Schizosaccharomyces pombe: one gene and its partners. Changing the gene in region 1 together with any one later gene gives a genetic interaction. Each region holds a gene or a part of one and is shown in the gene's direction. Other genes may lie near its edges. The genes, in order: pfl9, tim13 and caf16.

Region 1 (3,698 bases):
ACAAAACCTTAATGGATTCGTTTTATACCTGTAAATATACTATCCAATTCTATCAAACGTACTTAAAAACAAATACCGATTCATAGAATTTGTTACGATGAAATATTTCTAATAATAGTATACTAATTGCAAATAATTTACCAGGTCCAAAGTCATTGATCTGGACTATATTGACATTCCAAATATTAATAGTATGTCTTAGCGTATATAAAAATTAAGAAGACTTCAACGCTAAGTATGGATTCAGCTCTTTATTTTGTTATAAAAAAATAACTCAATGCTAAACAATAAAATAGCCGAGCAGTTTTCAATTAAGAATTGTCTAGCGAAATTTCATTAAACAACCTAAATCATATGGAGTTTTTTTCTTTTTTGATATTTGGCTCAGGCAAAGAAGAAAAGTTAAGAGTGGTATTTCTTAATAAATTAATGTCTCAAAAAAGGAATAAATTTTTTTTTTAAAATGCTAAATTTTAAACGTCCTCAGTTGCATAGATGAACTTTAAATGATAAGCGAACGAAATGCAATCGATAAATCATTGTCTCTTAGTAAAGTGTTCGGTTAAAATGACTGACATTTCGTCCGAAATAATATCAGTGTAAATATCATGGGAAAATTTCGTGTATTTCTTTATTTGGAATGCGCAGCAAAGTATCAAGAGAATAATTAGTGTTTTATATGATTTAATTTTATTGCCGGTACAATTGTATGGTTGTTCTGATAAATATACATGCTTTGTCGGTTTATCACTCTGAATAAATTTGTGATATATATTGGTTTATTTATTCAATCTATGTATCATGTAGTTGATGCTTTCATTTTTTTCATAATTTTAAAAATATCAGTTAATCATTTATTCAGCAACTGTAACGTTAAATCATTAATATATATATCTATATCGGCATGCATTAAGTTGCTACCGTTAAACATCTTAATTAAAACTAGTCTTTTATAATAACTAACTCTTTAATTTTTTGAAATTAGTTCAATTTACTGTGGAGGGCAGTCGATTGATAAAAGCTTTTCGATTCACTTGTAGCTTTAATCGGTGCTCGTTGCATCAATATTGGTTTATATAAGCCAAAGCTTTCATGGCTATTAATGAGTGATGCCGGTTTAACTACTCTAAAATGTTTTGAAAATGATAGGTATGTTTTGATTTGCTTCATCTTTTTATTTCAGTATTAACAACCTAGTAATTAAAATGTTAACAAAAAAATTTGACTACCTTTTCGAATCACATGTTTTCAGTGCTAAGTTGCCTCCAGACTGTCTGCAGTGAGTATAGGTGTTTTATAAGAAATTTGCTACATAGTATCAAATCAATAATATGAATGTAGTTTTATCAAAAAAATATTCATTAAGGCGACTGTACTGAAAGAGAAGTAGGTTAATAATAGACTCTTAAGAAAATTAACGAGAGGCGTCAATTTCTGTTGCTAGCATATATTGCGAACTCGATCGGTATGTGAATTACTACGAAAACATGCGAGCCGCGTTAACAAATGTGCATTGCCTTGTCTTAAAGTAACTAAGTTTCTCAGAAGCAGTATAAATAGTAGACTACATTAATTTCGAAGTTCCGATAATGATCTTTTTATAGAACTCAAATTTTTTAATTTGATATTGAGAATTCGAATAAAAATAACTATGGGATTAACAATAAGGGGGTTTCCGAAATTTTGGGTACTGGTTTTATATGCGCAGTTTTTGTATAAATGAACAGGCCTTCTCACACGTCTTTTCGGTTCATATTTAGCGATCAGAAGTCGTTAAAAATTTTTCTCCTATAAACAATGAATGTGGTGAAGTACATAATTTTTAGCTTTGCTCTGGCGCCTTTGTTATTAGTTAACGCGAACACATATAATTTTACACAGATACAAAAGCGAAGCGTAAACCAAGCTGTTCTTGAATCAAGTCAAGATACCAATTCAGTAGGCGGTGAAGCTTCTTCAACAGCTTGCCCTTTATTCACTACTATTTACACTAATGGTATAACACCGGGAACTACAACGATTTATCCAACATCTATCTCGACATCTGGCGTATCTAGCAACAATATCGATGAAACTTCGGTATCCTCTGAGTCTATCATCACATCCACTATTACGACTACTATAACATCTGGTTCGCAACTCTATACTACTACCATTACCGGTCAAAACACACCTGTTGATACCGTTGAAGTGGTAATCCCTACTGCTGGTACTTTCACAACTACATTGACTTCTGGATCCAGTTATCCTGTCGCAACAACTACAGTGCGAACAGCTTCTGGAACACAGTCAGGTGAAGTGGAGGTTATCACACCGTCCTGTGGATGCAGTCCTGAAAATTCATTCCATCTTAAAATAGACAATGATAAAATCAGCCCTTCCTACGTGTACATGGATCCAAACGCACCCGTGAGAACTAATGGTGCCGGTCGAGAGGGGAATATGTTTGCTTCAACTAATGGAGACAACGAGGGACTAAACCTTTTCTACTATGATTCCACTATTCAACGAGTATTAACATGTGATTGTCAAAGACCGTCTTACACTGTATACATTGAAGATCCAATTATAGGCAATGGTTTTTCAAGTGCTTGGAATCTCATTAAAAATAGCGATGGCATATTTACTCCTGTTGAATCAAGAAATAATGAGCCACTACACTTTCATGTAGATAACAATGGAAGAGTATGGATGACTTCACAAGAATATGATACAGAAGTTTCATCAACCGACGAAAGAAATTTTAGGGCCAATGATGTTACACTTCAACTGTATTAGTTGAAGCAGCAAATTTAGAATTGCACATACTCTCGTTTAATTTTTTGTATTTCAGGTCATACATATAATTTTTTTTACATTCATTTGATATAATATTTTAAAATTACAATCCATGAAATCCTTTATCAATCCCTATTGAAGATGTCAAGAAGTTGACTTCCTCGGATTTCATATTTTTCTCAAGTTCTGCTGTAAACTGAAAATAGGGATATTTAAATAGTTCTTAATTATTTTTTCCACTAGAAATTGATTGCTCTACTAATAAAATACTGTTCCAAGTTATCGGCACAATTATTACTTTCGTAAACAAAATTTGTATTTTATTTATTTTTTTTTTTTTTAAATTAATCATAACTAGTGGTATTAGGAATGCATATTTTAATCTAAGTTCAAATTAATTGCTTTCATAGTAATCATTGATATTTGTTAAATAACTAGGTTTAGGTAAACCGTACTAAAATTGAACAGGAAAGGATAAATTTTAGTAAATTTTGTAGATTATGCTTTTCGTAAAAAATAGTGGTGGCCGGTTTTAAAGATAAGTTTGGATAAACTGGTTATAATTTCCTTAAGTGAAATTTAATCACTTAAAAAAATATTAGATCTAAATAGTAACTATAGACAAGTTTTGTATAAGGAAAATGACAATTAAAGATAAGGAGCTAGACTAGTCTAGCGCTTGTTTTGAGTTTAATATTAGACCATTCAGAATTTTTTTACTCATTATTACTAAAAAAGAAAACTTAAGCAAGAATTTAAATTGTGGAAAGTCTCTTTTACTTATTAATAATTGTAAGCAATAAGGATAAGAAAATCAAAACAGTTTTTTTTAAAAATGTTTCTAAATTTAAAAAAAAATCTAAACCATATGCTGCGTTGCCTGTAAATAGTGTATCTAGGTCGGATGAGATTATTGTTTT
Region 2 (3,239 bases), 1.0 Mb from region 1:
CGGGAAATACGAGAATGCTGAAAGCGTATGAAGTGTTTCCTACAGAGGCCAACACAAAAAAGATAATGGATAATCCTTCGGTAGACTTTGCTTTGTGATTCTTGATGATTTGAGGAATACGAGCACAGAAGTATAACACAGAACTGATACAACCGGCAGTAAACGGCCATGCATTCAAGTCATCATCACTCTTGTCAGAAGAGGCACTAGAAATAATTAAGTTTCCAACGATTGTCGAGACAATAACCACACATCCCATTACACCAAATTGTTGACGGGTAGAAAGGCGATCCCACCAAATTTGTTGTTTACCAATGGGTGCATGAAGACCTTCTTCTAATGAACGACTTTGGAGTAAGGGTTCGTGTTCACGACTGGCAATACGACGGGCAGCTTTCCAACGATAGTAGTAAATTTGCATAAGTAGGGTACTGTCAGAGACAATGTAATAAAATGAGAGAACCAATACAGTAGAAGAGACATTTCCGTAAATGGAACCAAGTACATTGAAGAAATCGCCAATAAGCCAGATGATTAAAAATAAATCAGAGATACTTTCACCAGACTGGTTTTTATAATTTTCAAGTAATTGAGGGATCAGTAAAACGACCCAACATCCCAGGGATAATGCTCCTAAAAATGAAGACAACTCCGTGAGTATGTTAGCCATATCAAAAGAAGGAGCTATCACAGACATGGGACAAAAATGCTTGCGAACAGATAATTTTAAAATGAATTTGAGAAGAGCTTGTCTAAGCTTTTTATGGTCAAAGTTTTTTATATGAGTGTGGAGGACAATAAATAAAAAGAACGGGAAACAAAGGGCTACAAAAGCGAAGCAACCTGAAAGGGAAATCAAACTATTAATTTAATAGGAATGATAAGCAATTATTAAAATTTGTCAACTTCCTCGAACGTGTAATGCTTCAGCACTATAATATTCGCTGATTTATTTTAGCGATCCAAGAGATGATACTTAATGAAAATTCGTTACAAGTATTTTTTTTTGTTTTAAAAAATAAACACTAAAAGGAATATCTATAATAATAATAATAACAATGGTAAACAATATTTCTCCCACTGTAAAGAAACAGAAGAGATTTGGTGGTGAGTTTGGCTCTGGATAAGATCAACCTCCCAGCCGTCCTGTTATTTATTTACCTCGGGCAAGGCTATATAGAGATTTCAAGATAAGAAAAATTTGCCGCCCATGCAGTTTCGCAGAATTAAGAAAGTGTCCGTGGATTTACAGATACAATTGATAGTCAATCCAAAGGTATCATTCTAAAGAAATATAAAGGAATAGTAAGCGAAATAGATTTTCCTTCGAATAATCCTATTTCACTTAACAATATAATTCTCAATGTAAATAACAGTCGCATTAATTTTATCAATGTCAAGCTAACTCGTTTTTGTTATAAAATTTAATACACCATAATATCGCTAGCAGTATTAAACATTGAAATGTTTACGTGACTTGTTTGATTCTCAGATTATTTGCAGTAAAAGATGTGCTAATTCCATGATTTAATTTCGAGACTATAAAACTCTATAAAAATTTCTTACAAATTGGGATTTTTATTTTTTTTTCTAAACAAGGGTAATGAAAAGTCATGAACGATTCATTTCGTATATTAAAATATTAAAAATAATAATAATAAAAAAACGCTGAAAAAACTTTTATTTCTAAACTCACCAAAAGGACCCGAATAGTATATCTATCCATTAGTTTAGAAATATTTTATTAAATCTTTTTTTTTTATACCAAGTAGAAAACAAAACAAAGATTGCTGTCTGGTTGTATCGCATATGTCAGCATATTAGAAAATCCATTTTCTATTAACGAAGTCTAATTGGTGATGATGGCCGGTTTCTGAATTAGTCTCCCTAAGTACACCGTTTGGTACTTTCCACGAACGTACCATTTCCTCATTAATTTTCCTTGTAAAGGAGTAAAAATTATCCACATTCATAAGTTTTAACGTTATACTTAAACAAAATGGGCATTTTCGGTGGAAATAGTGGAAATGCACCTTCTTCTGAAGACAAAAAATCCATTTTCATGAAACAAATTCGTCAGGAACTTGCTGTTGCTCAAGCTGGCGAATTGATAAGTGTATGCTCCATTCATTTTTTATGTTTTATTGAATGTTTTAACTAATCGGTTTATCTAGAAAATCAATGAGAACTGTTTTGATAAATGTATCCCGGAGCCTGGTTCCACATTCGATCCCAATGAAAAGGTATGAGAACTATTAAAATACTTTTATTCTAACTAGACAAAAGTCTTGCGTTTCCAAATGTATGGAACGCTATATGGATGCTTGGAACATTGTTTCTCGAACCTATATCTCTCGTATGCAACGAGAGCAGAAAAATCTCAACTGAATAATAATGATTTTTTTTTCTATCATTTTGTTTTACTCTCCTATGATATGTGTCTTGTTGTATAGTTGTGAAGTGACGGCAAAGCTTAATATGCAACGTAGAAATTTTTCTTTTCAACGTAGCTCACGCGCTTTCTCTCTAATAATTATAAACTTTCAGCAATTAAAATTCGTTTCATGTTCTTTTCCTAATCATGCTAAACACTTACAAGTGTTGTTATACTACTGGGTAAAATACTTATAATTGTTTCTTTGACATGTAGCATTTAAGTATTATTGTGTAAATAACAGTTTAAATATTTTCATAATAAAGAACGATCACCGGAAAAACTAGAAAAACTAGAGATTCATTAAATTTCCTTATTCTTATCATTTACCTTGATTCTTTTGTTTTTGTTTAACTGATTCAACAAACTCCTTAACATTTAACTGACACACCACTTCACTGCAAAGTTGTTTTCGGTTACCCTTGGGTACGTTTGATAAGATCTCTAATCCGCTTGCTCGTTCCACAACCTCAACGGGAACTGCAAAGTTCTTTAACGGAAAGTTGTCAGCAATAGGTTTGTTGGGAAGAACGAATGCAGCTACTGATGGACTTGAGGTAGGCTCTCCTGATTTTTCTGCAATGATTACTTTAAAAAAATGAGTAGGAACTGCGACGTTGGGAGGATTGCCAATTACTCGATACTGAACTTCCCATTGTCCACGTTCATTTTTTTTAGGTAAATACAGCGGTCCCGTCATTATGGTAACTGAGCCGTATTTACTTGTAAGGCGTCGACACCAATCTTCAAAGTATGCCCAATCTAATTGTTATAGTTAGTAACTAGTCAAATTTATTAATGTATT
Region 3 (3,636 bases), 720 kb from region 1:
CTTTTCGTTGGTGTTCCAAAGTTGTGCACGAAAATGGATTTCGACCTTTTTGGGGAGAAACCATGGTTTATGAGAGTATAATTAGTGATGACTTTTATTCCATGATCCGATTTCTCGTCCATCATCGAGGAAGTAATGGAAATGACTCTATATTTGCTAATTTTACTTGTCCGATTGACAGACTGCAACAAGGCTATAGACATATTCGTTTATTGGATATGCAAGGCGAAAATTTGTTATTTTCGAGTTTGTTTTTGAAAATTAAAAAAGAAGACATTTAGAACGCTGTGTCCATTACAGCACTTTCACCGTAATGAAACTTCAGAAAATCTAAAATGCATATTATACGTTAAAAGGGAGAGAACCGAAGTAGTCTGAGAATGTTTAGAGTGTATGAAGCGTTTTTTTATTTTTATTTTTTTTTTTTAAAAAAAAAAACGCTATACAAAAACATTCATGTTTATAAATATGGGTTTGGGATAAAACTTTCAATAAAAAGTCATAATAATATCCACAAAGCGGAAGCTCAATGATTTGTACGCAGACGATGATTGCAATAATTTATTTAGAAGCTGACATTATTTACAAAATCGTTTAAGCTTTTTACAGCTGCATCACTACGTAGACCTTCTCGGTATATATCCGTTCTAATTTTTTCCCAAAAATGTACTTGTTGAGCGTATTGTTGTTCGACATTCAATAAACTCTGGGATGAATTCTCGCACGCAGACTTGCAGCTTTGAAGTTTACTTGACAAACTCGAGTCTGGAAGATTAATCTTCGGCAATTCTACATTCGTATCCGTAGAAGCTGCCCCAAAAGACGCTCTTGTTGAATTATTGCTAGGGACTCTATAATGATAGGGAGAATTGTGTTCCTTGGAATTTGTAGATGAAGAGGGTGAATCATAACTAGATCTGGGTGTTTTTGTTCTTTGATGGTAGGATTGTCGGCTCCTATAACTAGATTCATAAAAACTGTTTTGATCAACGTTTGATTTCAAAGGACTACGATACTGGTGGTCGTTTCCATCATAGTGGTAGTCATTTCTTCTGCTGCTCATTAAAGTGAATAATTAAGTGCTGATATTAATGGTTCTTTTTTTTCACGAAAAATGTACACTATCTAATTAAAACAATTGGTTAAAGAACCGAAAAATAGTAATACTTAATTCAATTAAAATCACGGTGTGAGAAAACGGTTTGAGGTAAGACTATTTTACGTACCGCGTTATATAAAGCCCTTCGCCCATATCGATGTTTGTTTGTTGTTTAATATATTAAGTCTAATGATATGGGCAATACTACGTTGAAAAGCTAAAATCGTTTAGCAGGAATGAAATAATATTATATTTATATTTTTTTATTTGAGAAATGTCCGCCTGCTGTTAAAAAATTCCATGCGAATGTTAGGTTTGTCTGTTGTCTTAAACGAAATGGGGTGACCTTAGGAAAGTATTATTACTTAGTTTTAAGCCAAATAATATGTAGCATAAATTGTAGTTGATTACAAATGTTATCTGCTTCTATCTCCTATATATATTGTTTGCCAATTGTTCCATCGATGTTAATCATTTTTCTTTCCAAGACTCCGCAGGATGTGTGTTCAAGGTCTTAATAGCATCTCCAAATATGGGCAGCATTACTTAATAGTTAAAAAAGGTTCTTTACAAAGACTTGGAAAGCTAATTTATTAGTACGAGGTCTTGCTTATAACAACTTTACTGCATTCCCTCCACACTTTACTTGATACACAGATGTACTAAACACAATCCAGCTAACCCACAAAGTTTGAGTGTTATTTAATTTGCGCCTTTTTTTGGATCCTTTATATATTGTAAAACTAAGTTCTTAGATAATTATATTTTACTACTGTTAAAACATTCTATTTCAAAATGGAAGTAACTGTTTCAAACCTCTCTTACACGTTTTCTCCAAAGCAGCCTTTAAGTCTTGATCACGTAACTTTAGATCTTCCTAAAGGATCAAGGACTTTACTTGTTGGAGCCAATGGAGCTGGTAAGTTTCGCGGTGTTATGGAAATTGATGAAGAATATTTAAATGCTAACTGATGTCCTCTTGGAATTTTGTTAAACAGGAAAATCAACTTTACTTAAACTTTTATCTGGAAAATCGCTTGCGAAAGCAGGACATATATCGGTGGGTGGTAAAGATCCTTTTCGTGAGTCTAGTTCTGCATTTGTTTATTTAGGAACTGGTAAGTTCTTTTAACATCAAATTTTACTGATGTGTGCGTTTGTAGAATGGGTTAACAACCCTGTTATACATAGGGATATGAGTGTTGCACGATTAATTGCTTCTGTTGGAGGAGATAAATTTGCCGAACGTAGGGATTTCTTGATTTCAATTCTTGATATAGATCTTCGTTGGCGAATGCATGCAGTGTCCGATGGTGAAAGACGACGTGTTCAACTATGTATGGGACTTCTGCGTCCATTTGAAGTACTTTTACTTGATGAAGTAACTGTAGATTTGGATGTTCTTGCCCGGGCAGATTTGTTAAATTTTTTGCAAGAGGAAACGGAAGTAAGGAATGCTACTATTGTTTATGCAACACATATATTTGATGGTTTAGCTGAGTGGCCAACTCACTTGGTCCATCTCAGTCTTGGGCGTATCGTGGATTATGGACCAATATCCAAGTTTGGTGCTCTGATGACAAGGTCCTCTACGGGAAATAGCGCCCTTCTAGAGACATGTTTGGAATGGCTCAAAGAAGACAAAAAAAATAGGGGAACTCGAGAAGAGGAAAAGCGTAGTACCTGGGACGACGTTCAAGAATCATTAAAAGTTGGAACTGATGTATTTACTGATTACTTTAAGATTTCCCGAGCAAAATAGATTACTAGAAAAGTTATCCTTTAGATGCTTAATTCTATCTTTAACAAGCATTACAGTCTTACTAGAATTAATAATTATACCTTTTATTAATTATAATTTCATTATAATTTGTTTAAGTCATTTAATTGTCATTAAAAGTCATTAACATTTCAAACATCATTATCTCTTAAGTTCATTGTTATTCTCCAGCTGCTTAAGCATGCATTCAGCTTTAAGGACGACTGTTTGTCTCTTTTTATTTGAGCCTTCTAGAGTTTGTTTATCATTTTCATAATTCATTAGAGTTTCGATTGTTTGTTTCGATGATTCAGTGCAATCGGTTTTGTTGCTTAAAGAATCATCACACAAACCTTTCTGTAGCTGAGATATTAAATTTTCCATTGTTGCTGAAACTTCCTCATTCTTTGAAGAACCACTATTTTCTGCATTATTGCTTTTAACAGATGCTTTTAAAGCTTGTAGTCTTAGAAAAGCAAGTTCTTCTTCCTTCTCCATCTTCTGATTTACAGTGCTAGCCTTTTTGTACTCCAGTATTATTTCGTTTAAATTATTGAAAAACCTAGCACTCGATGTAGGTTCATCTGGATTTTCACCATACATTAAGAGAGTTGTTTTAAGGGTTGTTTTTAGTTCAGTAATATCAGAATTAAGTTCATCCACCATTGATTTTCCTGATGGAATCCATGGAACCATGACTTCACAGATATGGTCATCAGGATGAAGAGCTTTATGATTCGAAAAAATGCCTTCATTGCTAAAGTCCTTTTCAACATTT

What was found.
Region 2: mutations in pfl9 (region 1) and tim13 together harm fitness more than expected from each alone (negative genetic interaction), as found in Schizosaccharomyces pombe (one large-scale study listed by BioGRID).
Region 3: mutations in pfl9 (region 1) and caf16 together harm fitness more than expected from each alone (negative genetic interaction), as found in Schizosaccharomyces pombe (one large-scale study listed by BioGRID).

The regions. Positions count from the first base shown.
Region 1 is NC_003424.3:5,525,895-5,529,592, forward strand, and holds pfl9 (DIPSY family glycoprotein), read left to right. Parts: upstream 1-1,797; coding exon 1,798-2,778; 3' UTR 2,779-3,065; downstream 3,066-3,698. UniProt on the Schizosaccharomyces pombe protein: May be involved in agglutination during conjugation or other aspects of colony formation. Induces flocculation when overexpressed.
Region 2 is NC_003424.3:4,482,079-4,485,317, forward strand, and holds tim13 (TIM22 inner membrane protein import complex subunit Tim13), read left to right. Parts: upstream 1-1,912; 5' UTR 1,913-1,999; coding exon 2,000-2,116; intron 2,117-2,174; coding exon 2,175-2,243; intron 2,244-2,286; coding exon 2,287-2,388; 3' UTR 2,389-2,579; downstream 2,580-3,239. Other genes in the region: G-protein-coupled receptor Stm1, read right to left, coding at 1-697; endodeoxyribonuclease Pnu1, read right to left, coding at 2,757-3,196. UniProt on the Schizosaccharomyces pombe protein: Mitochondrial intermembrane chaperone that participates in the import and insertion of some multi-pass transmembrane proteins into the mitochondrial inner membrane.
Region 3 is NC_003424.3:4,810,205-4,813,840, forward strand, and holds caf16 (CCR4-Not complex subunit Caf16), read left to right. Parts: upstream 1-1,763; 5' UTR 1,764-1,894; coding exon 1,895-2,018; exon of another isoform or gene 2,019-2,097; coding exon 2,098-2,217; exon of another isoform or gene 2,218-2,262; coding exon 2,263-2,861; 3' UTR 2,862-2,975; downstream 2,976-3,636. Other genes in the region: phosphoinositide phospholipase C Plc1, read left to right, coding at 1-281; histone H2B-K119 ubiquitin ligase complex (HULC) subunit Shf1, read right to left, coding at 566-1,063; formin Fus1, read right to left, coding at 3,021-3,636.